Linked DNA regions of Mus musculus: regions 1, 2, 3, 4, 5 and 6 are each reported to be linked to region 7. The links are microRNA targets in miRTarBase. Many come from high-throughput screens and were not tested one by one. Region 7 holds a microRNA gene; each other region holds the end of a gene's coding sequence. Distances are from middle to middle.
What was found. Region 7 holds the annotated microRNA mmu-miR-10b-5p (UACCCUGUAGAACCGAAUUUGUG, at 2,428-2,450, opposite strand). A microRNA usually pairs through its seed, bases 2 to 8, with sites in the 3' UTR of a target mRNA and lowers its output. Matches are read on the target gene's strand: a 7mer-m8 pairs with bases 2 to 8, a 7mer-A1 pairs with bases 2 to 7 and ends in A, and an 8mer does both.

Region 1 (4,178 bases), not on the chromosome of region 7:
CCAGGGGCCCCTGCTGTCTTCTCTGACTCTCTCCTTTCCTCTCTTTACAGAATCCCCTGGTTGAATCCCAGGCAGATGACAGCTCTGAGCCCCTGCCTTCCATACTTGAGGCGGCCCCCTCCTCCACAGAGGAAGAGATACATTATGCGACCCTCAGCTTTCACGAGATGAAGCCCATGAACCTGTGGGGGCAACAGGACACTACCACGGAGTACTCAGAGATAAAGTTTCCACAAAGGACCGCATGGCCATGACCGTGGCTGGAGAAAGCATGGTGGCCCCAGGAGGCTGGCTCTGGAGAAGGAAAGAGTCACCTAGGTTGACATGTGATACACAGGGCTTCAGAGCCATTCCTTCTGTGACACAGGCGTTCTGTGCTGCCCATGCCCCTGTGCTGCCCTGTCCACACAACTGCTATTGTGCCCTGGGAATCATAAGCTTGACCTTTTTACTCCTCTTCTCCCCTTCCCCTCCTTCCCCGCCCCCTCTTCTCCTCCTCCTCTCTCCCCTCTCCTCCCCTCTTCCTTTTGTTTTTTCCAAGACAGGGTTTCTCTGTGTAGCCTTGGCTGTCCTAGAACTTGCTCTGCAGACCAGACTGCCCTTGAACTCTTCTTTCCAAGTGCTGGGATTAAAGATGTGCACCACCACCCAGCACTTGACTTTATTGTAACTGTATGTGTGTGAATGTTTTGCCTGCACGCAGGCCTGTGCGCCACCTACATGCCTCCTGCCTGCAGTGGCCAGAAGAGGTCATCAGACAGTTTGAAATTGGAGTTACAGAGGGTTGTGAGAGGCCACATGGGTGCTAGGAACTGAACCCAGACATCTGTAAGAGTAGCCTGTGCTCGTAACTACTAAGCCATCTCTCCAGTAATAAGATTGACTGTTTTAGATCTAATTTTTACTTAAAAATTGGCATATATTATTTACACAGTGATAGACTTTGCTATATTTTCTTCCAAGTGTATCACATATTTTGGCCATGTTCATCCCCTTCTCCTGTTAGCATCCTATTAGTCGCTAGGCTCCTTTCTCTCCCCAAACAATCCCTTTATGGTTTCATGTTGTATGTATTAGCTACTTTTCTTGTCTTTGTTGATAGGATGCTGACAGAAACATGAAGGATAGGAAGGTTTATTCTTGCTCATGGTTTCAGTCTATCATGGCGAGGAAGGCAACATGGTGCTCAAGTGAGTACATGTAGTGGAGGCTCCAAATCTTGATGAATCAGGAAGCAGCAGGCTCAAACCAGAACTAGATGTAGGTATCATCTTCCAAGCCCAGTCCTAGACACCCACTTCTATAAGCTGTGCCTCATGTCTGAGAGATCGCAAGGCTTTAGAAAATACTGCGACCAGCTGGATACCAAATGTCCAAATATGTGGGCCTTTGGGGACAATGTACATTTAAACCCAAACTAGATGGATGATAGATAGATAGATAGATAGATAGATAGATAGATAGATAGATAGATAGATAGCAGAAAGAAAAGGGTTAGTAGATGATATATAGATAGATGATAGAAAATAGAGACATAGAGATGACAGATAATGATGGAAAGGTAGATAGATGATAGAAGATAGATGCTATATAAAAGGTAAATGGTAGATACAAGATAGATGATAGAAAAAAAGATGACAGACAGACAGACAATTTGGCAGAGATGCTGCTCCACTCTGCTTTGCTATTGGTGATGCACCACTGAACGTAGCTCAGAGAAAGTGCAGATAGCAGTGCTGGATACTGAGGGGCTGCCAAACGTGCCTTAACTCGGTTTCTTTTTCCTGGTTTTTAAAAACAGTGCATATACTTTGTGAGAGAAAAGCACTTGAGAGCAAAACATAAAGAAGATTCTAACGTAAGAGGAAATACTGATAATACTTAACATTTTTGCAAATGTTCACTTGCATGTGAACATAAAACTGGACTGAATCTGTATTTGTGCCTATCATTGTTGATTAATCTATACTTTTTTATTTGGGTTTTTTTTTTGAGACAGTGTGGTGGTTTGAATGAAAATGTCACTCATAGGAAGTGGCATTATTAGAGGTATACACTTGTTGGAGGAAGTCTGTCACTGAGGGAGGGTTATGAGGTTTCTGCAGCTCAGCCAGGCCCAGTGTCACCCTCTCTCCCTGCTCCATGCCTATCCAGATGCAGAACTCTCAGCTTTTCTCCAGCACCATATCTGCCTGTCTACCACCATGCTTCCTGCCATGATGGTAATGGACTAATCCTCTGAACTGTAAGCCAGCCCCGATTAAAATAAGAGTTGCCATGGTCACAGTGTCTTTTCACAGGAATAGAATACTAACTAAAACAGACAGGGTCACAAGTACCCCAGGCTGTCCTAGAACGTGCTATGTAGCTTAAGATGACCTTGAACTCCCGAACCTCCTGCTTCCAGCTTCCAAAGCCTGGGATCATGGGCATATACAACATACTTTCTTATATATTCATATATATTTTCAAGTGTGTGTGTGTGTGTGTGTGTGTGTGTGTGTGTGTGAATGCAGTTCATGCTGAGTTCAGATGAGAGCATCAGATAACCTGTAGTTGGAGTTACAGGTGATTGTGAGCTGCCCAACATGGGTGCTGGGAGCCCAACTTGGGATCTTTGCAAAGGCAGTATATACTCTTCCTCCAGCCCCTGATCTGTTCTTTCTGTTTCTGACCCCATCTCTGTGCCTCTGTGGCCCTATCAGATGTAGCTTTGTGTATTCATCTATAATTAGAAGGCAACTACCTTCCTCATTGAGAAGCCTTTCTACCAGTGTGCTTCTTAAACCTGTGTGTAGGACCCATTTAAGCAACTGACACCAGTTGTCTGAACTTAAAATGGCTTCATTTCTCTGTCATTGGTATCTGCGCATCTTTGAAGAATCTTTCAAGATCCCCTAGTGTCAGAGTAAGGATGTGGAGCTGGAAACTGGGGGGATGGGGGGCGGTGCCTAGAATTAGATCCTGGAGCTCTTACACGATCTGCCCCAGCTTGGCCAGCTCTGATTAGCAGATGGTATTAATGGCCAGGCTCCCTGTGATGTCACCCCTTGTCCAGGTCCCACAGGGAGTCTTCCAATTTATCCAGAAGCCCAGATTTCTTCAGCTCACTAAACCTGGGATGGTTCCCTTCCTGGAATGTTCCAGAGACACCTGGTGCTGGTGCAGTTCAGCCGGTCCCCACAGGAGACTCATTCTCCTTTGTCTCTCTCCATCATCTCCTTGCCTAGTTGGTCTGCCATGGACACTTATGACAAGTTTTTCCTGTGGGACGAAATGAGAGAAGTCACATCTTGTGTTCATAAAATCCTGGGAAAGAAATTATTGTAGATTTGGTTTAACGCTTATATTAACTGGGTTCCTCAAATTACTCGAGACACTGAGTCCCTGCCCCCAGTTGGTTCTGATTGGTAAATAAAGTTGCTGGCAGCCAATAGCTGGGCAGGGAGACATAGGCAGGACTTTAGGATTCTCAGACAAAGGAACCAAGGTAGAGGAAGGAAGAGGATCGCCATGCAGAGAAAGGAATAAGATCCAGGCTTGAGAGCATCAGAAGAGAGAGCATACTAGTCATATAAGAGCCAGGAAAGAGCACCCCAGGGCCTCCCCATTGGGTCTAGGGTAACAAAGATAGAACATAGATTTTAGTAAGTAATAACTCAGGAATATCGGAAGGGAGGTGTTAACAACATGAAAGTTTGGGAGTGGCACAGCCATTGAGCTGTTTAAGACATATTAAAATAGAAGGCTACATGTGTGTCTTTCATTTGAGAATCCAGAACACTGAGGTGGCAGCAAGAAACTCATGGTGCCATGGCCATGGGGCGATTTTGAGTAGCACTAACCACCTAATGCAACAAGAAATAAATAAAGTGATCCAAATCTTCCCTCTACACACTTGCCGGTGGAAGAGATGAACCTGGGGCTTAACCTCGGTGCCTAGCGTTCCTAATATTTCCACCCATGCTTTTTAATATTAATTTATTTTAATGTCAGGAAAAAAAATAATTAGCAAAACCCATCTGTTCTAGCTTCAGTTCTATTGCTGTGATAAAACACCCAGACCAAAGTAGGGACAGAGAGGGTTTGTTTCAGTTAACAATTCCAGATAACAGTCCATCACCGAAGGAAAGCACGGCAGGAACCTGGAGGCAGCTCTGCTTGCTATTCCACACAGT
Region 2 (4,178 bases), not on the chromosome of region 7:
AACACTTGCTGCTCTTCGGGAGGATCTGGGTTCAGTTCCCAGCACCCACATTAGGTAACTCCATTCCTAGGAGCTCTGGTGCCCTCTTTTGGCCTTCTTGGGCACCTGCATACATATGGTGTACACACAAGACAAGCAGCCACCCACACATACACAGAAGTTTAAGGTTTTTAACTTAAAAATTATTATAATAGCTGTTTTTTATTATTTCATGATTTTTAAAAAAGATTTATTTATTTGAAAGAGTTATTGTATATACAGTGTTCTGCCTGAATGTAGGCCTGCAGGCCAGAAGAGGACACCAGATCTCATTACAGATGACTGTGAGCCACCATGTGGTTGCTGGGAATTGAACTCAGGACCTCTGGAAAAACCTTTGAGCCATCTCTCTAGCCCTATTTCATTTTAAAAAGTATCTTCTTCAGAAAATAAAAGCCTATCTAAGAAGAATATATGGTTTTTAATTCTTTTTTTATAGTTAATTGCCCTCACAGCTAACATTTCTTATAGTTTGTGTTTTATATGTTTGATTACTATCTGTAAGATGCTTTATCAAGTTTATAGCAGGATGTTCTTTCAGAGATTTGTATAGTAATTATAAAGCTTATTTCCACATGGGTTCACACATGGGTTGTCTTTGTACTATGCTGATGTGCACAGAGCTATATTCTGAAGCCCCACAGTGGAGCTATGATGCGGGTCAAAAGAAACAGACAAGATCCTTGTGTTTCACAGAGCTTCAATTATTTTTTACAATTAAGATCGCACATACAGTAAACATCAAAGATGTTTAGAAAAATATTTTTCCTGTGCATTATGAAAATTCAAAATTTAAAACTAGAATGTAAATAAACTCTTAACCAGGACATGGTGGTGCATGCCTTTAATTTCAACTTGGGAAGCAGATGTAGGTGGATCTTTTATGAGGTTGGGGCCAGCCTGGTCTACATAGTGAGCCCCAGGCCAGCCAAAGATTTAAATAGAAGGCACTGCCTCAAACAGCCAAGCAAACAAATAACAGCAGCAACAACAAAAAACCTCAAACCTCTCTCTTTTTTTTATTAATTAATTTATTTACTTTATATCTGACAGTTTTCTCCTTTCCTCTCTTCCCAGTCCCCTCCCCGACTCCCTTCCCACTCACTCCTCCTCAGTTTCTCTTCAGAAAAGGGGAGGTTTCCCACGGAAGCCTGGCATATCAAGTTGTAGCAGGTCTGCGTGCATCCTCTCCTGTTGAGGCCAGACAAGACAGCCCAGTGGGAGGAAAGGGACCAAAAGGCAGGCAACAGAGTCAGAGACAGCACCTGCCCCTGCTGTCCACTTAAGGACCCAGTTACACAGCTATACCATATCATATGTGCAGAGGCCTTAGGCTAGACCCATGTAGGCTTTCTGGTTGGTAGTTCACCCTCTGTGAGCCCTTATGGGCCCAACTTAGTTGATTCTGTAAGTTTTCTTGTCGTGCCCTTGACCCCTCTGTCTCCTACAAATCCCCAAACCCTCTTATTAAAAGTAAAACAAGTGGCCGGGCGGTGGTGACGCACGTCTTTAATCCCAGCACTTGGGAGGCAGAGGCAGGCAGATTTCTGAGTTCAAGGCCAGCCTGGTCTACAAAGTGAGTTTCAGGACAGCCAGGGCTATACAGAGAAACCCTGTCTCAAAAAACAAACAAACAAAAAACCAAAAAAGTAAAACAAGTGGATAAACATATCATGCTAACGGATTGAAAGTTGAATAACCTACATTTGTCAGAGGGTTCTCATATTAGTATGTGTTAAATAAAATTGGATCAAATTGTATACTTTTCTGAGAAACTGATCACCTTATTTTAAGATATTCTGTGGGACTGTAAAACTTTCTTCTAGAGTCACAGGATCTGAGACAGCCCCTGCGAGCTCACACTGGCCCACGAAAACCTGCATGCCTCTTTGCCATTCTAAGTCTACACATGTCCCTACAATATGGCTGCTCCTCCTGTCACTCCTCAGAGCACACTGCCTGCTGATTTCTTGCCATTACAGTTTCTCAGAGGCCTGTCAGATGTACCAGTCCGCCAACTTTCCCTGGTCATCCAGGGAAAAACCACTGCAAATCACGAGTCTCACGCTGGACTATGAGTGTGGTGGCATCCATGGCCTCCAGGTTCCAGATGAAACACTGTAGTTCTATTTCAAGAATCTCCGTGTGTGTGTGTGTGTGTGTGTGTGTGTGTGTGTGTGTGTGTGTGTAGCTATTGGAAGCCACTGCAGTGTGAGTCACTCTGAAAGTATGTACATGAAGTAAGAGAGAAAGAAACAAATAAGATGGTGTGTTCTTTTGGACCAGTCAGGCAGAACTGATATTTGCGTACTGATAGCCATTAGAAGTGGACCTAAAGAGGCACAGATAACGCTCCCGTCACTTCACTGCAGACGACAAGAGAGATACAGGCAGGGAGTTCAGCTTTAAGTATAGTGCATGGTCTTGTCTGCCTGTCTGCAGCTTAGGGTACAGACACACAGAGAAATAACAGGCACAGTGGCTGCTCACTAGATCAACTAATGGGCATTTGGTGACAGCGACTTTGATTCTGGGGACCACTGACCTAATGAAGTTTATACCTCTTGTCACAGTCATCGATCTTGTGCACAATACCATGGTCCCATGGATTCACCTGTCCAAAGTAAGAGTTAGGAAATGAATGCCCAAATTCTGATAACCAGGTAACCATGAAACCCAGCAAGAGATCACCTGGAGTGGGGCTTGAGGTGTGGCATCCTGAAGAGGATGGCTGTGCTCAAGATGTCATGCAAATTTGGCTGCATTGGGTTATATGGCTCCAGGGAGTAGATATGTGGCAAGCTGTGCCGACCACCTCGTTGACCTCCTGGTATGTGGTTGGGCTGCTCAGTAGGGCTCTCCCTGTAGTGGCCCACAGTTCACTCTACTGGGTGGAAGACAGAATGCCCAGCTTGAAAAACAGTGCAGCAGTGGACTCAACCCACCACCAGCTTTCCAAGGTGGCGAGACTTAGCTGGTGCTGTGCTCCCATTCATGTGCAGCTGTGCTCCACCAAACATATCAGTTCTCAATCTCTGAGATCCTGTTTGAGGTCATGACCTTGATGATCAGGAGCCCTGCAGATCCGGAGGGGTTAGGTGGGTTGGGAGAGGCTCCTGGTCAGATACTGGCTGAAACTGGGTTGTATCCCTTTTCCTTCCTGCACATGAACACCCATGAGCTCAGGCTAGCCCCACAGTGCACCACTGAATGTTAGAGATGTCCACGGTGTGGTGTCGCACATCCTGATGGGGACACAATGGCTCAGGGCTCCGTGGGGCGGCAGAGTGCGTGCCAGCGCTTCACCAGCTCCTTCGGCTTGCGAAGCATCTCCCCCCAGTGTTCCAGCTCTTTGCCACGGGTGTACATGTAGGGGCCCACTACCACGCGGCCCAGGGGGGAGCTCTCTGCAGGGGAGGGAAAGCTTTGTCACATCCTTAAATACAGAAGCTGTACTCTCATCCTAAGGTCTGCACAGACTTTTGTTTCCTATCCCCTGCTCTCTGGGAGGAAGTAGCAAGCCCCTCCTCCCTGAGCCTGAGCCTGAGCCACCCAGCACTGTTCCCTCCCCCAGGGACCTTAGAGAAGAAGATGAGGTGAGAGCTTGCATTGCAGCCCTGTCCCCCACTGCCCCGACCCCTGCCCCGGGTCACATGAAACCCAGACATGTTGAATTGCTATGGGAGAAAGCATTTTTTTTTTTGTAGGAGGAAGGTCTCTTCCATTGCTTCCTTGCACACCGGGCAAGAGCATGAGGCAGTAATGTCCACCCATCATCTACCACTGGGGAGAAAGGTCCCAAATCGGGCACAAGAACAGCCATGGCCCAGTGGCTTTGCTTCGTAGTTAGTGACGGTGAATTCTAGTGGATGGGTTGTGCAGGACCACTGGCAAGGATAACCCATCCAGGACCTTGAACAGCCATCTCGGAAGGCACGAGGAAAGGCAGAGAACACAATACTCACGACAGGAAACCAACTGCCTGACATCTCTGACAATTCACCCAGAACGAGGAAGAAGCAACTACCCTTGAACCTCTTTCTAGGGTACTACAGACAAAGTCCAACTGGACTAAGGCTGGCCACGAGCCCCAGGCTACCTAACGGCAAGCTCCGTGGCCGTGGGCAAGTGTCCCAGCC
Region 3 (4,178 bases), 91 Mb from region 7:
ATCTTCCTGCTTCCCTTGCTCTTGTCTCCCATGAGTTTTGCATATTTTGAATGGTACCCAACAGCACTGCTGTGAGTCCCACTGCAGCCCCCAGGGCCACTGTGTCACTTTTGCAACTTGCCCACAGTACTGCATCTGGATTGATGGACTCAGCGCTCTCCTGGGGAAGGATATGTCCAGCGAGCTAACCAAGAGCGACTTGGACACGCTGCTGAGCATGGAGATGAAGCTGCGGCTTCTGGACTTGGAGAACATTCAGATCCCCGAGGCGCCACCTCCGGTCCCCAAGGAGCCCAGCAGCTATGACTTCGTCTATCACTATGGCTGAGCGGGAAGGGACTGGGGCCCAGGAGAGACACTGGCAGCCCACGCCACTTGTACAAACTCTGTAGTGATTGTGGTAACTACTCCTCAGAGCCAGTGGGACCCAGAGCTTCTCTCTGTCCCATCCACCAGGAGTCATGAAGTCAGGGCATGCTGCCCTCCTCAGCACCACAGAGCCTGGGTCGGGCTTGGAGGGGTGAACTCATGAGGCTCCTGCCTCCCGCTCTGCGTCACATCTGCATCTGGTACTGGACCTACTGACAGCCATCCCCTTTCCTTTCAAGTCTCCTCTCTGGTTTGTTGGAGAGCCCATGTGGGCCAAAGCTGGTCCATGAAAGGCTGACCATGGGGGCAAGAGGCCTGGGGAGCTCGGTGAGAGCCTCGGAGTGACTGTCTTCAGGTGGCTCAGGCAAGAACAGGCCTTGAGCTCCTGCTTAATAGGTCTCTGAGGGCTCATCCCAGCCTCGTCCTGTGCCTCATGCTGCTGCCTCTGGGGTTTGGCCCTACCATGTCTAGTCTCTAGAGACACCCGTCTCTCTTGTCCTTGCAGGTATCAGGACAGGTAGTAATTTTGCCCCAAGCCCTCAGCCTCATCCTGGCCAGGCAGAGGCCTCCAGCCTGAGTCCTGCTCTCTTAGGCTTTAGGAATGAACACTGCAGGGAAAGGCAGGCTGAGGCCTCTGGCTCCCCCTACCCCTCCAGTCCTCTCTCTTCCTTGCTGAGGCACAATATTCCCATGCCCCCTCAGTTACAGGCCCCTCCGTTTGCTTCCCTCCTGCCTCAGACAGGGGTGTTGCCTTCCCTTTCTCCCCTTCCTGGCGCTGTGGTTTGTGCCATTAGCCATGATTTCACAGCGGCTGGGGCCACAGCTGTGCCACGGCCTTCATTGGTGCTGCAGCACTGGAAGCCCACGCGCACAGCCTCTTTCCTTGGACGCATGTTACCATGGTGGTATTCAGTACTGGTAGCCTGGCATGGTGGGTACTACCCAGTGAAGAGTGTACTATATATTTTCTTTACTATAGGCCATACTTATACAGACATGTATATATATTTATATAAGATCTTCCTATCTTAGGATAGAATGTTTAAGGGAAAATAAAATCAAGAACAAAACTGTAGTGCTCTCAGTCATGAGCTGTGAGTGTAACCAGAGAGCAGCCAGGAGCTTCCTGTCAGTGATGTGTTTTCAATAAATACTCTTTCATGTAGACTGCTTCCTATCCACACCTCTTCCTCTGCACTTATTCCCTGTCCCAAGGGTGAGGAGCGGCCTGACAGCCTTCATTTCAGTGTGCCTGGGAGCATGTGGAGAGCTCCCAGCCACTCTGAGAGCATCTCCCTCTCCCCTCATCTCTCCTGCTCTTGTCATGCGCAAACTACTCACACCTGCTGGCTAAGGATGCTCACAGCTTGTGCTACAGGACAGAGCGTTTTCTGCTCAGTCGTGCTGGGTACAACGTGGAAAGGCATACTGTACACCCCCAAGAACCCATCCTCCCTTTTTCCCCTGCCAGGGACACAGCCAGGGAACAGCTCGAGTACTTGTGCCTTTCAAAGAAGACATGTTCCGCACCCCGCATGTTGCCTGCAGTTAGTGCCCAGCTTGCCAGCTGGTGCTTTAAGCTGGTGCTCCCATCAGCAGCCTTGGTAGCTGGGAGGTTTGAATGAAGGCAGTGATGAAAATAGATACTTCCCCTTGCCTCAGTCAGAAGGGGGTGAGGACAGGCGCTTTCAGAAGGCATAGAAAGTGCATGCAACGCAGGCTTTGAGGGCTGAACGAAGCCAAGACCTTGGGCTGCGATGGGCACCATTGTAGGTCTCAGGAAGCATTGAATCAACGAATGCTTTCGTGATGCCAGCTGGCAACAGCCTACAGCAGCAGTGTGCACAAAGCACAGCTTACACGCTGGCCTTGAGCCTTCTGCTAGGAGCCAGGAGCCCAGCCAAGTCATGTGCAAGGATTCCTGTTTGCAGCCAGTCCTAGTAGAGCCCGGATGAGCAGACGCCGAGAACTGGGCCAGCTCGGGTCTGCAGCCCTAGCTTGCATGGCTTAGAGGTTATCTTGCCCACATACTCTGTACCTGAAATGAGTCAAATCCAGGTGTGCTAAATTGGTGTTCTGCGGCCACTGTAACCTGCTTCCCTGGGCTCCCGGTAAGACTAGATCCTTCTTACCCCCTTCCTTTTGGGTTCCATTTCCTCTGCGATGAACTTCACGTACTCAGCCTATTGAATAATTCTCACAAATTTATAGGCATACGCAATGTCACAAAGTGTCCATTATCACTTTGCCAGGACGTTTTACTAATAAAATTTAATGGTTGTCATGTCATTTCCCTGCTGCTTGAAGTCCCTGAAGAAATAAGCCCTGTACAGAGTTATTAGTAGCTGTGATTCGTTCCTGGTGCCCGTTTAAGGGAAAGGTACAGAGGGACCGTGTTGGGAAGCTTGCTGTAGCCGCCTTAGAGATGCTCTGGCTCCGCCCACCCCACCGACTTCCGGCGGAAGTCTCGCCTCCTGAGGCACAGTGCCCACCTCGAGCTTCCGGCAGGAGGCTCCCGGCGAGAGCCTGGGCGGAGGTAAGTGGGCGTGTGGGCGGTCCCCTGCCTTCTCGCCCGGCCTCAGTTTCCCCAGCTTTCCAGTGGCTCTGGGCCCGTTCGCCTGGCATTCGCCGAGCACGTACGAGGGGCCGGGTCTTGGGGATGGGGGGAACCAGGTGGATACTGCCGAGCAGGCGCGGCAGGGACACGTGAGCAAACACAGTCGTCACGCGGTGTTAAGTGCCACGCGCAATGGGGGTCCTGGGGAAGGGGACCAGAGCAGAGAGCATCAGGTTGCCTTGCCGAGGAGGACGCCGGCTGATGTTCCGGGCACACGGCTGTACGTGGCGTTGCAGCTGGCAGGCAGGATCCAGGGAGAACTTGCGGACCCAGCCCCGGGGTCTCCGGTCTGTTGGGACCGGCAGTCTTAGTTTCTTTCCCTGATGCAACTTAAGGAAGGAAGGAAGAAAGAAAGAAAGAAAGAGCTTATTTCCCCCATAGTTCTTGGTGCTGTCCGTCGTGAGGAAGTCAGGGCAGTAAGTGCTTGAAGCAGCTGGCCACGTCGTTTCCACAGTTCTGAAGTATAGAATCTTGAGAGCCATCAGTGCCTGCTAGTGCACTCTCCCTTCTTTATGGAGGCCAGGAGTTCCTGCCCACAGCTACCTGGGTCTCCTCACATCGGTTAACCTGATCAAGAGAATCAATCCCTTCCTGGTATGCTCCGAGGCCCGTCTCCCAGGTGACCCTAGCTTCTGTCAGGTTGACCACACTAACCATTCCACCAGTCTCTGGCTCCTTGTGGACTGCAGGCAAGTGCAGGCAGTAGGTGAACGGAAACTGTGGTGTAGTGTGTGGTGGTGGGAGAGGAAGTGAAGAGAAGTGGGTGGGTCAAGGAATAACTAGAGGTGGACTTGACAAGGCAGGAGATGAGGGATGCCGAGGGAGGCAGCAATGGCTTCACTGGTGCTGACTGCCTTCTGCCAAAGAAAACAGTTGTTCGGTTGGCCGTTTCTAAGTGACTTGAGAGTCAGATGAAGACCCGAGGAATATTAAGGTAGCTCCTTGCAGCACCTTGAGGTTGAGCTGTCGGCTGGAGTTACGGGGTTGGTCGTGGTGGGCTGGGAATGAAGGCGGCAAAGAGAGGCTGGGCTGCAGCCCTCAGGCATCTGTGCTTACTGAATGAGTCAGAAAGAAGGAAGACTCCAGAGACTGTGGCAAGTTGCACCCGCTAGGTCTCTGAGGAGGAAGCTGTCAGTTTCGTGAGCAGAGCCACAGAAACCCGGGCTCTGGCGAGGTGACAGGGAAAGAGTAA
Region 4 (4,178 bases), not on the chromosome of region 7:
TTGAGGAATTAAATAGTCCAGTTTTACCACTCCTGTGTGTCTTTCCCATATAGGACCCTGTATCTTACACTACTCTTCTCTAACCCTTGAAGACTTTTTAGGAAATATACACAAGACATTAGAAGTTACTTTGCAGACAGACAGATTTTAATTTGTCCATTACTACTGAATATTCAAATTATTAAGTGGTCACTCCAGGTGTGATAGGAGATTCTTTCCAAATTCTTAGTAAAGTGTACTACTTTTTCCATACATAGTAAGGTGAAAACTTAATTTCTACATCTCTCAACTTCCTATAGTAAATGTATGTAAGGTCATGCATGCATAAAGACTGAGCTTCTTAGCTAACCTCTACAAAGAGGTATTACAAAAGAAATACAGAGCTAGGTCTATATAAACCTCTTACTCGGCTTAGTCACATGATGCTTGCTTTAGTGAAATGCCACTCACATTATATACAGACTCCTATATGTAGATCCAGAAAGGCCTTTGAAGTGTCCAGAGAATCACTGGAAGTGATCATTAATCTTTTTTATTGCCCATAGGGAGGTGGGATGCACATTGGTTCTACTGAATGGCTTCAGTTGATATTTGGGAAAGCTTATTTATATTAACTTCATTGAATAATTAGTGAAATGAAAAGCCCCAGACTTGTATTATAGATGATATCTCTTTATTATAGTTTGAAAATTAATTTTGTATTTTATCCTTTGCCTCTCATTTAGTGATTTCTTAGTACCGGACTACTTAAACCAGGAGCAAGAAGAGACCCTTGTTCAGTATGATCTTGGAGAACATACTTTTGAAAGCAACTCTTCTGTTCAAATGCCTGTGATTTCACAGGTCTCCTCAACCCAGAATTGTGAAAGCACTTTTCCCCTGGGCTCTCTTGGTGGGCTTACAGAGAAGGAGGAGGAACTGCATGAGCAGCCAAAGACCAGTGCTCCTGCTGAGGCGCCCAGGGATGACCCCCCTAAGGCAGAGCTGCCTGCTATAACTATTGAGTAATTCTGTGATTGGCCTGGGGTTTGGTTTTTTGGAAAGTGCCTGTGCTTGGTCTCATATGTTTAAATTTAATTTAATTTTTAAAGAAGGGTTCCCTTTGTAAACCCTAAAACTGGAGGGTTCTATGTTTTGTTTTGTTTTTTCATAGCTGAGAGATTGCTTCTGTATGTATACAATAAGGTAACATTGAAACAGAACATAAACTTTGAGACTTAAGGAAAAGCAGCTGACTTAGAACATGGCAGTTCTTCCTCCCATTGTTAAAAGTGGGCAGCAGCAGATACAAAAGAACTCAGGCTGTGGTTGACCTTCCTGAGAGAAGAGGGCTAATGAGAAGTTATTAAACAGTTTGACAAGGCCTAAGTAAATGTGTACTCCTAAGTGCAGGGTGTTATAAACCCTGTAGTTTTGGAAGTATTTGTGGTGGGTTTGTTTTTGTTTTTGTTTTTTTCAGATGAAGGTAAATAACTTCTGAAATCCAGTATATTCTTTTTTAAGCCATTTTGAATTTTCATAGTGAAAAATTAGTATCAGGCAGGTATTTCCTGTACCTTTATAGCACCACTCCAGAGGCTAAGAGGTGTGGTTGAGAAGAGTCAGGCTGCATGTGGAATGGCAGGGTGCAGAACGAGGTACGTATACCCAGCTTTGCAGAAACTCTCCTGAGACTTTCTCTTCCTGGTCATTGAATGCTGACACCTGGCTAACTAGGGCATTGCTCAGAGAAGTGTCCTCGTGTCCCACCAACAGCACTTTCATTTGCATATACTATTGTGCTGCCATATAAAGGAGAAATAGTGAAGATATTCTATATTTTATATATAGGTTTATGTATTGTTGAGGATGTCGATGCTGTGCTGTTTTGGACAAAATAAAAGAATTCTGTTTTGAGGCTACATTCTTAACCCAATTAAGATTGTTTACAAGGTCACATATGACAACAATATAATGTCCTTATTCCAAAATATTTTGAGGTATTGCCAAGTTTGTTAAAAGCTTTCACGAGATGTAAGCAATAATGTAAAAGATACGACGAGGTTGTGAGTGATCATCTGTGACTCAGACATGGAGGGAGGGATTGTTAAGACCAGAATCTTAAAAACTTTGCTACTCAGACGATAACATTTATATGATATTCTAGATTGGGATATACTTTTTTATCTTTTGCCATTAAAGCCTCTTTGATCTAAAATATTTATGAAGCCACGAGTAATGAACTTTTGTGTAATTTTTTATATAGAAAATAGCCCCAATGTTTATCGTTATGATAGCCCCTGATGGGGTTAGAAGATAAAAACAACATTTTGTTTGTTTGTTTGTTTGTTTGTTTGACTTTGGACACTCTCTTTTGTTTTGTGACAGGATCATAGGTAGTCCAGGTTGGTCCAGAACTCATCATCCTCTTGCCTCAGTTTCCCAACAACCTTTGCTACCATTATATATTATAGACACACATCACCACACCCAGATCAGACTATAGTCTTAGTCAAACACCTGATCTGACTTTTATCCCAATGCCAAACCTTACTTACTTTTTATATTATAGTAATTTGTTTCTTTAAAATTTATTAATTCTGCAATTTAATTTCTGGTTTTTTGTAGGTTTTTTGGTTTTGTTTTGTTTTTGGGTTCTTTTTTTTTTTTTTTTTTTTTTTTTTTTTCCAAGACAGGGTTTCTCTGTGTAGCCCTGGCTGTCCTGGAACTCACTTTGTAGACCAGGCTGGCCTCGAACTCAGAAATCCGCCTGCCTCTGCCTCCCAAATTCTGGGATTAAAGGCGTGCGCCACCACGCCCGGCTGAAATTTAATTTCTATCTCTGTTCTTTTTTCTTCTTGATACTGAGAATTGCACCCAGGACTTTGTATATGATGCGCACGTGCCCTGTCACTGGTCACACCCCCACCCTGAGTCCCAGTTGTTTTTTACCTGACTCATGGCTGATTGCTCCCAAGCATAGGTGGGTAGCTTTCAGAAAAACCAACTAGGAAAGTCAGTCATTTTTATTTTTTTATCATACATGATCTTTGAAAACTGTGCCTAGTAATAAAGAAATCCTAAAACTCACTAGAATCCTATTTTAGTATGGTAAATGTTCTTGGTTCTAAATTGGGTTGTTTTGTCTTGGTTTTTTTGTTTTTTGTTTTGTTTTGTTTTGTTGTTAAGAGCTAGAAAAAAGTAAAAGGAAGAAAGAAATGAGAATAAATCAGAGATGAATTGATTTGAAGAATTCTTTTTAGATTGTTTTGATTGAAAGTGTTTGAGTCTACTCTATCCTAAGAGTCGTGTGTTAGGACAGCCCTGGCAGCCTCCCTGTGAAGGACACACCTCCCTGTGGATTTTTATCCCTAGTGGCAAAGCTTGTAGCCAACCTTAGTGACAGATTTGAATATACTATGAATGCACAAATGGTTAGTTGCCTACTACCCAAACATTTTTAATAAACTTACCTAACCAGTGTTTAATATAAAATGATACAAAGGCTTTTTTCTGTTCCAATGAGACTCTACATTTTTAAGGATATTTTGTTTATGGGTCTGTTATAGGAAATACAACTGCAAGAGATAATTGTATATATAGTAATATTTAAAGTTTATTTAAAGTTGATTTAAGAGAGGAATGCCTAGATGTATACTTTTCACCAGAACATATGGAAAACATTGAAGAGATGAAAGCCAGTTACGATCCCGTCATAGAAATCACCAGGGTAACTAAACAGAGAATCATTCTTGTTTAGAATATTTAAAGGTAGCTATCTTTTGTAAGGCCAACAAGGGTACCTTTGTGATATTTAAAGGGCTTAAATTTTAGAATGCTAGATAAATTACTTTTTAAAAAACAAAGCATTTTATATAAGAAAAGCTTTGTTTTCAGTTTTTTTTTTTTTTTTCCAACTACCAAATAGATAGGATGTGCTTTAGAAGCAAAGCTCTTCCCGTGTTGTCAGGAGTCGTAGCTCCTCGTGTCAGTCTTTGCATTTCCAAACTCTAGCCTTCAGAGTGTAATGTCAGGAAATCACTAACTCAGAAACAGAAATTTGACAGTAACCTTTACTTTATGCGTTTAAATTTTTCAAGAAATGGATGTAGATAAATGTTAATATCCACTTCCCTTAATTGGCCATTTTAAACAATCCTAATTTTTATTTTCAGTTTAATTTCAAGTTTAACCACAGT
Region 5 (4,178 bases), not on the chromosome of region 7:
GGCCCCCTTACTCACCGGAGTTCACACCTAGTCCCCTCCACTGCAGCCACCCTCTAGGTTCTTTAGCCCTTGGCCAATCCCCAGGGGTTTCTATGATGTCCTCTGTTTCTGGATGTCCCCCATCTCCAGCCTATTACTCCCATGCCACCTACCACCCTCTCCACCCCAACCTCCAGGCCCACCTGGGCCAGCTGTCCCCACCTCCGGAGCACCCTGGCTTTGACACCTTGGATCAGCTAAGCCAGGTGGAACTTCTGGGAGACATGGATCGCAATGAATTTGATCAGTATTTGAACACTCCCGGCCACCCTGACTCTGCTGCAGGGGTTGGAACCCTCACTGGGCATGTCCCGCTCTCCCAGGGGACTCCCACAGGCCCTACAGAGACCAGCCTCATCTCAGTCCTGGCTGATGCCACGGCCACGTATTACAACAGCTACAGTGTGTCATAGAGCTGGAGGAATGGAGCCTGGCCCAGCCCTGCCATCCCCTCCTCCCTATGAAGCACTGAGCTGAGCAGAAACTGTGGCGATGCCACTCCTTGGTGGCAAGAGGTCAAAACTGCTGTTCCAGAGCCTTCCGGTCAAAAGCCAGGATCCAGCGCTCCTTCTGTCCCTTTAAATGTGTTTTGTCGGCTTCATCAAGGAAGCACAGCCTTGGGAGCTGTTTGCAGTAGGATTTCCTAGCCGCTCTACACCATCAGTGTAGCTGATGGGAAGAAGCCCAGTGCATTGGAGCTCCTGCTTTTGGTGTAGCTACTTCTGATCTGTGGTGCTCCCAGTAAGATGGACCCTGGGCCTGGGGTCCATCTCAGTTCAGTCTCTAACTGGCAAAACCCCACTCTGGCTTGACCAGCCCTGACTATTCTCTCCTGTACAGTGAGGGTTGGCTTCATAGCCAAGCCCTCGCTCTATGGATCTCCAAGTTACAGCCCTCTCAAGGCCAAGGAAAGTATGAATGAATGACTGCCCAAGGACCCAGGTTTTCTGCTTTCCTATAATACTGTCCACAGCCACCCTAGAATTCCAAAGAAACTCCTTCAGTCGAGAAAAATATTCACCTTTGGTCTGGCAAGATGGTGTGGGATGTCTCAGTGGGTAAGACTGCCTGCTGCCAAGTCTGATGACCTACGTTCTATATCCGGAGCCTACATGGTGGAAGAAGAGAACTGACTCCTGCAAGTTGTATTCTGACTTCCAAATGCACGTGTGCCCCTGCATTATATGTGTGCTTGAGCATGCTCACATGCACACACACACACACACACACACTAAATGTAATTTTTTTAAAGGAAAAGATCTACCCTGGTTCGGAAAATTAATGAGTATGTTCAACTGCATCACTGAAAGCAAAATCAGATTAGAACTTGTTTTGTTTTGTTTTGTTTTGTTTTGTTTTGTTTTGTTTTGTTTTGTTCTGAGACAGGGTTTCTCTGTGTAACCCTGGCTGCCCTGGAACTCACTGTGTAGACCAGGCTGGCCTCAACCTCAAAAGTAAGCCTGCCTCTGCCTCCTGGGTACTGGGATTAAAGGTGAGTGGCACCACACCCAGCCTGGATTTTTTTTTAATATATACTTTAGATACATTATTTTTGTTACATACATCTCAGGCGACTACAGTGTGAGAAATGACCTTATGCAGGCATGCCTATTCCCAACACTGTGCCCCAGGTGTGTACCCTGATTTAGATTCTTCTCAACTGTGACAATGTCTCATCCCCTCATCACAGAATGAACCAGAGAGCTAGAAACCTAAAACGTCTGTCCACAAAAGTGTTGGGGTGTGCTGATTTCTAGAGCAGAGCTGTAGCATACTCTTATCTACAGATGCAAAAGATGACTCTCTGCCCAATGTCTGCTGCCCCTTGCTCCCAGGAGGGCTTTTCTCTCTTCTCTGTTACTCTCCCTCCAAACTGGCCCCTAATTCAAAGGGCCCCTCGCTTGGAATCCCAGGCACCATTCCCCTGGGCGTGAAGGGAACTTGGTTCTTGTTTCTCAAGTGGATACATCAGAACAATCACCTATCCCACAGTCCTTTGGCTGTCCCAAACAAACACCCTGTGACACCCAAAGATGTTTCTGAGCTTTGGTCGCACCCCAGACATTTCCATTCTCTAAACCTCCTTTGAAGGAACATACCAAACACTGAGCTAACAGACTCTTGTCTGCCCTTGGACACGTGTATATTATTGCCTTTATGAAATGTGTTTTTATATTCTGCTATTATGTCCACCTTATATTTTGTATTGTTGACAGATCCCCAAGAAGTCTTATTATAATATCACTTATAAGATATACTTAATCTTTATGCTATTACTGTATATACCATTTGGTAACAAATAGTGAATTGTTGATGATGTAATTGACTGGTGCCCAGTCCCGGATGGATATTAATAATCTCGTGAAACACTATCACAGGCATTAAGCTACTCTGTTCCATTTTTTCAAGAAAACTAAATATGCATGGAACAGTTATGAAATTGATTTTTCAAAATGTTTAATTTAAATAAATTTTTTTGTACCTTCACCATTCTATCCTTTGAAATAGTATTTTTTTTAAATTCATACTAGGTCTCAGTGCTACCTGTAATATTGTTTGCGTTATTTTCTGAGTCGACTTTTTATTTTAAGGAGTTTTTGTTATATAGGGTTTTAAATTTCTTTATGAGTTGTGCTGAAAAGACAAACTTCGATTCTACACATTAGTGCTGTTTTTGTTGACATTGGAAAAGGAAAGCCATAGCAACCCACATGAGCAGTTTCTCCATGCCTATTCAGTAACTGCACGCTTCCCAAGTCTAAGCAAATGACCATCTTGTCCTCTCCCCTACTTGAGTGGTGTAGCAGTATGCAGTGGCCCTCTGGACTGGACAACATGCTGTCGGGGAGACAGGCACACAGCCTGGAATCAAGGTCTGAGACAGCTGGGAAAGTCCAGGATGCACGCTCAGTCAAAAAAGCTCCTGGAAAATCAGCCTGGCTCTGTCCCATGTATGGCACCTAATATGGGCTGCTCTTCATGTAAAGAAGGAACTTGTTTAAGTCAAAGGTAGCCATGCCCCTTCCCATGCTCCTCTGGGCCAACGAGGGCCCTCCTGGGTTTCTGCACATCCTTCTCTGCTGATCATAACCCACACCCATTATTCAGTAGCACTTCATTGTTGTTGGGAGTGTTAGAGAAGGTTTCTGAACTGTTTCTCATCCACAGCCCAGGTGGGCCTCATCATTCCCACCACATTACACAGCCAGGGACACTACAGTTCCGAGTGGGAGATGGCGTGAGACTCGCCACCCTCCTAGGATGTTGGCTTCAGCACCCATGAGGCGCATTCATTGGGAGCATTCATGGCTGAGGGTTTAGTGCTTCTCCTTGGTCCTGGTTTTGGTGTTGGAGATGTGGCCTCATGTTGTGGCTCAGACTGACCTGGAACTCACTAGGTAGCCCAGACTAGCCTTGGACTTGTGGAAACCCTTCTTTAGCCTCCTTGGTTCCATTCTCTGTGCCTCACTGGGGCATGGATTCAACTGCTCCTCAATCCATGACCATCTCAGGCCAGAGAAGAAGAAAGCAATTATGGGTGACAATTGAGATGACACAGAGCCGTGATGCTCTGCACCTGGCCAGTGGTGGCCATATGCAGAGAGCACTGAGGTACTATCCTTGGCTATACTGAGCTCTGAATTGGCAGTATCTGGTCAAGGTATGCCCCTTGGCACTGCCCAATGGGCATGCATCATTGTAACACACAGTGTGGTTACACTGTCCATGCCGATGAGACGACAAGAAGGCAGGAGGGTTCTCTGCTCTGAGTGGGACACTGTGGGAACCAAAGTCTCTGTGGGTCCCAGCTACCTGTGCACCCTGCCTGTGGTACTCAGGTTACAATGTGACTGATGTCATCTTACAGGATGACAAGCCATGACAGCAAGTTGTTTTTCTAAAATGCTGACGTTCCCATGTCACTCTTTGCCTTAAGATCTCTGTTCCTGTTCCTTAAGCAGTGAACAACAAAGGTGACCCACTTTGTGGCTGAGGAGCCCTGTATTTCAACTCCCACTTGCTTATGTGCAGGGCAGTCTTTATTTTCACAAATGTTGTAGAAAGGGAAACACTTGTGTTCTTTTCTCTAAGACACACCCCCACCATTACATCTCCTGCCAACTATACAAACTTCAGGC
Region 6 (4,178 bases), not on the chromosome of region 7:
GTGGGTAGACATTGTTTCTACCCCACCCCCAACCAAAGGCATTTTAAAACAGTGGCCCATGAGAAAAATCAGACTTGAAAATCATACTTATTGCTAATTTGTGGAAAGTGAGCACACAGTAAAAGAAATGTGAGCTATGTTAAAAACCCAAGAGTTAAGCCAGCCGGTGGTGGCATTCGCCTTTAATCCCAGCACTCAGATCTCTGAGTTTGAGGCTAGCCTCATCTACAGAGTAAGTTCTAGGATAGCCAAAGCTACACAGAGAAACCCTGTCTTAAAAAGACTAAAACAAACAACAACGAAGAACAAGCATTAGCGTGATGGAGCATGCCCATCATCCTAAATGGGGTCCTTAGGAGGATAAGTTCAAGGCTAGCCTGAGATAACCTGCTTAGGCATGTAGGAAAGAAAGAAAAAAGTTAAGCCTAGAGGTAACAGCACCAAAAGCCTGGGCAACAGGGCACTCTATTAGGACTAAGAGCTGGGACTCAGGCTGTGGCTCAGTGTGCATCAGTTATGTGCACAGCCCTAGGCTTGATCCCAGCACCAAACAATTTCTAAGAACTATAAGAAGGCCATTTGGTGGTGCACACCTTTAGTCTCATCACTTGAGAGGTGAGGGAGGTGAGCTCTGAGTTCAAGACCATAGTGAGTTCCAGTACAGCCCTGTCCAAAACTACAAACACTGTGTGAGCTTGGTAGCAGATTCTGCCTAAAACCTCTGTTGTGGTTTGAATGTGAACTGTTCCCCGCAGGCTTAAGTGTCACTCTGTCTGGGTCACTGGGGTAGGCTTTAAGGCTGTCTAGCTCCACCCTACTCCTGTTCATTCTCTGTATCTGAGTACAAGGACCGTGCGACCAACCAGCCTCCTCCACCATGGTGGACTGAATTTCAAGGGAAATCCTAAGGCAAAATGAGGCCTTTCTCCTTTAAGGCGCTTTTGTCAGAGAACTGTATCATAGCAACAGAGCAACAACTGAGCCGCTCAGAAGTTAAAGATACACTACTCCAGGGGAAGCAAGCCAGTAAGGAACATCCTTCCATGGCCTCTGCATTAGCTCCTGCTTCCTGACCTGCTTGAGTTCCAGTCCTGACTTCCTTGGTGATGAACAGCAGTATGGAAGTGTAAGCCGAATAAACCCTTTCCTCCCCCAAAAGAAAAAAAAAGATACACTACTCTGCCAAAGACACCCCAAAACCAGTGAGTATAAAGAGGAGCATGTATCTGCACTCCCGGGGCTCTACAGTAAGGTCAAAGGGTCTCTGGAAACTCATGGGCAAGCAGAGTGGCTTGACATATTTCCCCCAAAAACACTGGCAGAAAAAATTGACACAAGGTTGTCCACTGACATACATGTGCTGTGGAGTGAGTGCACACATGCATGCTTATCAAACACACAAAAGATAAAATAATCACTGTGCAGTTCTTAAAGCATGAGATGATGGCTAAAAGATGGGTCATTGTAGCTCTCGCAGATGACCCAGGTTTACCTAGAACACAATCACATAACTGTAGGAGACTGCCACCTTCTGAACTCGAAGTACCAGCACACATGTGACAAGCAGGCAAAGCACTCATCCACATAAAAAGTTAATAAAGAGAGAGATTAAAATTTTCCTGTGGGGGCCAGGCGTGGTGGCGCACGCCTTTAATCCCAGCACTTGGGAGGCAGAGGCAGGCAGATTTCCGAGTTCGAGGCCAGCCTGGTCTACAGAGTGAGTTCCGGGACAGTCAGGGCTACACAGAGAAACCCTGTCTCAAAAAACAAACAAACAAACAAAAACCAAAATAATTTTTTTCCCTGTGGGGAAAAAGATGCCTATTCAGCCCCAAGGACGAGCACGATGCTGAAGTCTGCATAACCAACCCTGTTGATCCTTATTTCCCCAGCTGTTTCCCTTTAGAGCTAACTTTCTGGACCAAGCCATTCTGCCTTAGCACTTTTTCTTTACTTACTAGTCATTCCTAATATAACAAGTAGTTGTCTTTATTCATGAGACGGGGTTTTATGGTATATCCCTGGCTGCCTGAGAATTTACTTTTTAGACCAGGATATCCTCAAACTCATAGATACCTCTCTGCCCCTGCCTAGCTCACCCAGCTCAGTAGTTGATTCTTAACAGGTTCTCTATGCCTTTGTGAGGCTCCCATGCCAAAAACTATTCTTGTTTTGCTTTTTGAGATGGGTGGGGCTTGCTTTGAGGACAGACTGGCATAGAGCTGTTTGTAACTGGGCTGGCCTTAAATCTGAGGCAGTCATTACTCAGCCTGACAAGGATGAGATTATAGGCACGAGCAGCCAAACCTGGCCCCATGCAAACGGGTATTACATAATTTTGTAAAGTTTTTCTTCTATGAGTTTTGTATCAATCATAATTTTTGAATCCCCATAAGACTCAAGGAGAATGCAGAATAGGAGTGAGGTTTTGCTCACCCAAAGGTTCCATACAGAAAGTTCATGTGCAGTGGGAGAGGACTCAGTAATTAGGCACTGGCTGCTCTTTCAGAGGACCTGGGTTCAATTTCCAGCACCTCGTGGTGGATTATAGCCATCCAAAATTCCAGTTTCAGGGGATCCAATGCCATTTTCTGGCCTCCTTGGTCACCAGGAATGCTCATATGGCCAACACCTTGTCCCCTTGTTTCAGGCTTGCTTGACACTTGTAAAGGAGTTGAGCCATGCTACTTAGTTACTTTAATGTGTTACAGTGCCAGGTGTTCATAGATGGTAGGACATACTCTACCACCTTTACACACAAACTGGTCCTCACTACGTAGCTCTGGAGCTCACTCTGAATCCAGGCTGAATTCAGAGAGATCCAACTGCCTCTACCTCCCGAGTTTGGACAGGGACAAACCACCACTATGCCTGGCGATTCGTGCCATGTTCATGATAAAATTTATACAGCAATAAAAAAATAATAGTCCATAAACAAAGCACAGGTAAATTACACTATTTATGTACTATATTATCATATGGTAATTAAATCAACTCAATTTAGATCTATTAATATGGAAAGAAAGTTTCTAAGTAAAAAACAGAAAGCAATAGTATGAGCTATAGTAGGATTATTTTGTTTATTTATGCTTTTTGAGAGAGGACCTTACTGCGTAGCTCTGGCTGGCCTGGAGCTCACTATGTAGACCAGGCTGTCCTCAAACTTAGAGATCCACTTCCATACATGCTAGGATCAAAGGCATAGGCTGCCATAAGGTGAGATGGAACTCTTTGAAGATAGCAGTACAAAACCATGGAAGACAAACACAAATCTCCCCGAGGCCTCTTCCTTGGGGGAGGGTCAAAGGAATGGGATGAGCAGTGCCAAGGTCCTGGCTGTGCGTGCAGGAGGAGCGTAGTGAGTTCGAGATGACAGGACATCAGGGAGGCGTCAGGGCCATCTTTTCAGGGCTTACTCTGGGTAGTAAGTAGGCTAAAGCTCTTGCAAAACTGCTAACAGTATTGTTTTCTGTTTTCAATACTATACCTAATGATCTTAAAGTGGCAGATCACCCAGAGCTGCAGAATAACCAGGAATCGCATGCCAAGCCTCTCCCAATGCACTGTCAATTACATTTTAGAGACTGCAGTTATCCTTGTACTCTAATCATAAATCACAAATATTTATTGTAAAATACATTTAATAAAAATAACCCGTAGTTTTACATATTTTACATCTGTAGAATATTTACAAGTTCTCTCTTATAGCATTTAATATTCACTATTTTTTCCATTATTTGCCTTTGGATCATTTATTTCAGCAGTGAAACTGTCCATTGTTCGCTGCAACTAAAAAATGAGCTTCTTGGGCAATATTCCTGAAAGTAAAACAGAAAGGTTGTTCACTCACTGTACTCCAGAGCATTATCTAACTTACAGGCATTGCTAACCATTAACACAGAGTAAGAACCGCTGGGCAGAGGGCAGGAGAGCTGGCTTGGCAGTTAAGAGCACTCACTGCTCTCCCAGAGGACCTGGGCTCAACTGCCAACAGCCACACAGCAGCATGAAGCATCTGTAACTCCAGTCCCAGGAATCTGATGCCCTCTTCTGGCCTTCACAGAGACTGCACACATGTGGTACAGACATACATGCAAATAAAATATTCATACACATAAAAGTAACAAAAAATTTCAAAATAATACAGTTAAAAACAAAGCCATCTGGGTGTGCTGAAC
Region 7 (4,178 bases):
GCTGAAGAGGAGCAGGAAGATGAGGAAGAAGACCTGCCCTTGGTGTTGGGCAGTTTGTGGTCTTTTTTCCACTTCATCCTCCGGTTCTGGAACCAGATCTTGATCTGGCGCTCAGACAGACACAGGGTGTGAGCGATTTCAATCCGACGGCGCCTGGTCAGATACCTGTTAAAATGAAATTCCTTTTCCAGTTCTAGGACTTGCTGTCTGGTGTAGGCCGTCCGGGAGCGCTTGGGCTCCCCGCCGGTGTAGTTGGGGTTCACTATGAGACAAAACATACAAGACAGCCAGGTCAGAGCCCGGCCACTAGTTAGGCCCCAGGCTTGCCTCTGCCCTCACTTCCTGGCGCGTCTCGCAGCCCTCGGGCCCCCCCTGTGCTCCAAGCTGGCCAGCTTCCTCCCTCCCGCCCTCTCCCTAAACATACACACACTCCCACCCAAGCCCTTCCATGCACACACTCCCCACGCTCACAGGTCCTCCTCAAAGGTTCTCCCTTGCCACTGGCCCACCAAGAGCTCGGTATCGCCAACATTTTGGAAAGGTCCTTGTTTTGCTCTGCGTTCCCTCTGCTGTGGAAATGGAGTCCTCCCCCCACCCCATCCCCATCCCCACCCCCTTTTGCGCCCACAGCCAAGCAGCCAGCCACATGGTCCCGGCCTGCTCCCTCAGCTATAAAAATTTATGGAGAGAGTAATTGCGGCGCCCAAGGAAGCTGCACAAGCCCCTACCCATTCGCAACCCCTGGGGTGGGGGGTGCAGGCCAAAAGATGCAAGGAGTGGTGCGGGAGGGCTGTGAGGTCGCTGCCCCCACTCCTTACCCGAATTCACGTGCACCTTCTTCATCCAAGGGTAGACCACAGCGGGCTGCTTGAGTGCTGTCCCGGGGGGCGGCTGCTTGGGGCCGGTGGGCTGGCTGCAGGCCCGAGCGCCAGGCAGGGGCGCAGGCGGGGGCGCTGGGCACCGCTCTCCCGGGGCACCGTAATGACTTCCCGGGCCGCTCGGCTCCTGTCCGTGACCCCTCGCGGGCAGCGCTGAGCCAGGCCCGGGCCCGCCGCCTCCGAAGGGTTGCTCGCCGAAGTCGGGCCGTGGGTAGAGCCCCGAGGGCTGGAAGTCGGCGCCCTGTGCACCGCTGCCGTAGTAGTCGGCTCCCTGCTCGCCTAGGTAGCCACCCTGCAAATATTCCTCGCACGGAGGAAACTTGGGGTCCACGTACTTAGAGTTCACCATATACGAACTCATGGCCATTAATTTCAGAAGGTAGAAAATACTAATTTTTCTCGTGTTGTCTTTTTTCTCCTTCCATTGGGCCCTCCTACTTGCTGTCAACTGAATAAAGTTGGGCGGCCATGTGACCAGGCCAGCCAATAGGAAGAAAGCATGTTTATCACCGGGTTGGTGAGCATCTCATAATTTTCACAAATTTAACTAAATAACATACGTGTAATCAAGTGACTTGCCATGCCACATTTGAGAGTCCCTGACAGATGCTAATAGAGTTCTAATTCTATCCCCGGGGTCCCAATTTCCGGCAGGTAATCTCGGCTTTTGTCTTCCACTGACTTTGCTAACCTCCCATGCCCTCCTTACTCACCATCGCCTGAAGCAGCCCCCAGAATGGACATAGTTCAAAGAAGAGTGAATTCTCCTACTGGGGTGCAAAATAAGGAAGAATGAGTGTGGGCAATGTGGCCTCCGAGTTGGGTAGAGTCCTAGGCAGGCAGGCAGGCTGCCCGGCCAGCTGGCAGGAGTCCTGGACTCTGACATACAAAGACCTGTCTTGGCTTTGTCTTCATCAGGGTCACCCAAAAGTTACCAGAATCTGGCGGACCTGAATTGAGTTAGGCAATGAGTAACCACTATGCTTTTCTGCCAATGCGCAGGCTGGGGTGTTTCTAGTTGAAGTTGGATCTTTCTGCAGGAGGCCCTCACAGTTCTGAGTCTGGTGGCTGAGGGGTTGGGTCATATTGGGATGGTGGGGAGGGGGACCTTAACCTTGCCTAAATGTACCCCAACGGTCTCCGATGGCCTATCTTTCAGTTTGTCTTCTTCCCACACAAGGGCAGGTGAGCCCCATTTGGGTACCTTTGTGTCTCATGCTCCTTCAGAGCAGGGCTTCTGCTGGAGCTTTCTGGCCTTTCACCTCACTCTCTAATACCCTAAAACCTGGCTCTCTGGCTTTACACTCAGACAACCACTTGAGCACCTACTGGAATATCTATAGGAGTTTCTCCAGGAAAAGGCTGTACAATTTCACCAGGCAAAGTCGATCATCCTGGAGTCTAAGGTAATGAAAAAGAAAGAGGTGGCTTGCCGGCTGGGCTGCCAGTACTCTCCGCGCCTCAGTCTCTGGCCATGTCGGAGATATATGAAGTTTTTGCATCGACCATATATTCCCCTAGAATCGAATCTGTGACTATGTGGGTACCACACAAATTCGGTTCTACAGGGTATATATAGACAACGTTACAACCTCGGGTCCTACCCAGAGCAGACATTCAGGCAGCTGCCAGACCTGATCTCTTCAGCACAGCCACCAGGAACTCACCAAGCCTGGCTTTCAGAGATGGTGCAGGTAGGCTCGGTGCATTTCTAAGTATTGCTGCTCGCTACAGCAATGAGTTCCCTCATCGGCTTGCCAGGATGGGGGCCACCAAGTAGCTGAGCAGCCAGGACCTTCTTCTTCTTAAAAAAAAAAAAAAGAAAAGAAAAGAAGGGGAGTTTTTTTTTCACCCCAGAGATGGCGGCTTAATTGCCCCTTCTCAGAACCCAAATCTCCCGCCCCCTTATCAAGTGGTATTTCCCAAAAAGAAGCAAAGGCCCTCAGCAGCAGAAAGGGAGTTTTGAAAAAGGCAAAAGGAATAGTCTTCACCAGAACCTAAGCCAAGTGAGTGGTCACAGCTAGTCCTCCTAGAATTCGAGCATTTACCTTTCTGGGCCCTCAGCCCCGCCGGACTTTCGGATCCCGCTGCTGCTGCTTCTGCTGCTGCTATGACTGCTGCTGCAGACCCGGAGGCAGGCGCTGTTTGCGGCCACCGAGCCTCCCTGGGCTGAGACTGTCGAGCTAATGGTGAAGGGCAGGGCGAGGGGTCATTCGAAATCATTTACAAACATATCACAAAGTTTCATTATTTTTGCTTTGCCGACAGCAGCACAGAAGAGTACAAAAGTTCGCGAATTTCGCCGCCCCAGCGCCTCCGCTGTCCTGGGCTTGCCCCTCAATTCAGGGCATCAAGAGCCCAGATGCACTCTGGGGCTGGGCTGATTTCAGGGGCAGAGGGATGCCCTGGCCTGGGCCGAGCTTATGGATGCCTGATAACAGATTGAAGATGTCCACATTTCTAAGTATTGTTTTGATCCCTTCCTATATAATTCGAAAAATCACTTTCAAGCCCCATGCCTTGATTTTGATGGGGTGGGGCAGGGAGACTCCCCTCATCATATCTGGCAAAATTAGGTGCTCACTTTGACCCTGTACTTTGCCCTTCCATGCCCTCCCACCATCTTTCACTTCCACTATTTTGCAGGGATTTCCCAGGTGTCAGTTCTAAAAAAAAAAAAGGGGGTTAAAATCCGTTTGTTTAAAGACTCTCCCCAGTTTCTCCTAATGCCAGCCCTTTCACCCATGGACACGTTGACAGGCCTTTCTGGGGACACTGGGCCTACCTCTGTTTTACCCAGACAAATTGGGGAAGTCCGATGGGTTGAGTGAGGACCAAGATGAGTACACACATTTTCATATTTGTTAGACATTGTGACCTGCATTTCACCTTATTGCTCGACTTGTTCAGACAGGTCAAAGCCAACAAGTTATTGATGAACAAAAGCGTTAAATATTCACCTCCCTCTCAACTGCCCATACAAATGCTTTTGATCTCTCCGGCTTTTTGTGCTGTGGGCAGCTACAAGGCGCCAGCAAGCAAGCAGCCTCAGCAGAGATGAGCCCTCACAGCCAAGGGTGCCAAGGAAGAGGGCAGGGGCAAGGCCAGAGAAAGTCTGGGGAGTCCAGATTTTTCACCATGGAGCCTGGTTCACTGTGTGCAGGCCTGGTTCATAGAAGGAACTACAAGCTGTAAAGGTCTTCACTTCCCTGTTAGCTCAGCCTCACCAGGGGCCCAGCAAAGAAACCTGGCCCTGAGCCCAGTCTCAGCTTCTCTGACCAGGAAGGGAAGACATCTCAC

Region 1: miRTarBase lists Siglece as a target of mmu-miR-10b-5p. Seed matches in the 3' UTR shown: 7mer-m8 at 542-548.
Region 2: miRTarBase lists Syt15 as a target of mmu-miR-10b-5p. Seed matches in the 3' UTR shown: 7mer-m8 at 1,650-1,656.
Region 3: miRTarBase lists Elmo2 as a target of mmu-miR-10b-5p. The part of its 3' UTR that is shown has no 7-base or 8-base seed match.
Region 4: the mRNA of Zbtb44 is a reported target of mmu-miR-10b-5p. Seed matches in the 3' UTR shown: 7mer-m8 at 2,672-2,678 and 7mer-A1 at 3,706-3,712.
Region 5: the mRNA of Sox7 is a reported target of mmu-miR-10b-5p. Seed matches in the 3' UTR shown: 7mer-m8 at 1,422-1,428.
Region 6: the mRNA of Cdk7 is a reported target of mmu-miR-10b-5p. Seed matches in the 3' UTR shown: 7mer-m8 at 1,868-1,874, 7mer-m8 at 1,752-1,758 and 7mer-m8 at 267-273.

The regions. Positions count from the first base shown.
Region 1 is chr7:43,647,562-43,651,739 of GRCm38, reverse strand. Siglece (sialic acid binding Ig-like lectin E) reads left to right here. Exons shown (of 7, transcript NM_031181.2): 7 at 51-670. The coding sequence ends at 254. Ceacam18 (carcinoembryonic antigen-related cell adhesion molecule 18) reads right to left here. Exons shown (of 6, transcript NM_028236.1): 6 at 2,445-3,264. The coding sequence ends at 3,227. Among named protein-coding and RNA genes, the nearest start is that of Siglece, 11 kb to the left of the region's middle.
Region 2 is chr14:34,227,307-34,231,484 of GRCm38, reverse strand. Syt15 (synaptotagmin XV) reads right to left here. Exons shown (of 8, transcript NM_181529.4): 8 at 1,064-3,446. The coding sequence ends at 3,304. Among named protein-coding and RNA genes, the nearest start is that of Syt15, 9.4 kb to the right of the region's middle.
Region 3 is chr2:165,286,511-165,290,688 of GRCm38, reverse strand. Elmo2 (engulfment and cell motility 2) reads left to right here. Exons shown (of 21, transcript NM_080287.2): 21 at 128-2,658. The coding sequence ends at 328. It overlaps Slc35c2 (solute carrier family 35, member C2), which reads left to right and starts at 2,851. Exons shown (of 10, transcript NM_144893.2): 1 at 2,851-2,905.
Region 4 is chr9:31,068,020-31,072,197 of GRCm38, forward strand. Zbtb44 (zinc finger and BTB domain containing 44) reads left to right here. Exons shown (of 6, transcript NM_001115130.1): 6 at 726-4,178. The coding sequence ends at 736. Among named protein-coding and RNA genes, the nearest start is that of Gm17508, 12 kb to the right of the region's middle.
Region 5 is chr14:63,948,208-63,952,385 of GRCm38, forward strand. It overlaps Sox7 (SRY (sex determining region Y)-box 7), which reads left to right. Exons shown (of 2, transcript NM_011446.1): 2 at 1-2,525. The coding sequence ends at 452. Among named protein-coding and RNA genes, the nearest start is that of Sox7, 6.6 kb to the left of the region's middle.
Region 6 is chr13:100,699,689-100,703,866 of GRCm38, forward strand. It overlaps Cdk7 (cyclin-dependent kinase 7), which reads right to left. Exons shown (of 12, transcript NM_009874.3): 12 at 1-3,818. The coding sequence ends at 3,790. Among named protein-coding and RNA genes, the nearest start is that of Cdk7, 29 kb to the right of the region's middle.
Region 7 is chr2:74,724,346-74,728,523 of GRCm38, reverse strand. It overlaps Mir10b (microRNA 10b), which reads right to left and starts at 2,454; the gene lies at 2,387-2,454. The region is part of intron 1 of Hoxd3 (homeobox D3); the gene reads right to left. Hoxd4 (homeobox D4) reads right to left here. Exons shown (of 6, transcript NM_010469.2): 4 at 2,546-3,061; 5 at 819-1,648; 6 at 1-262. The coding sequence starts at 1,245.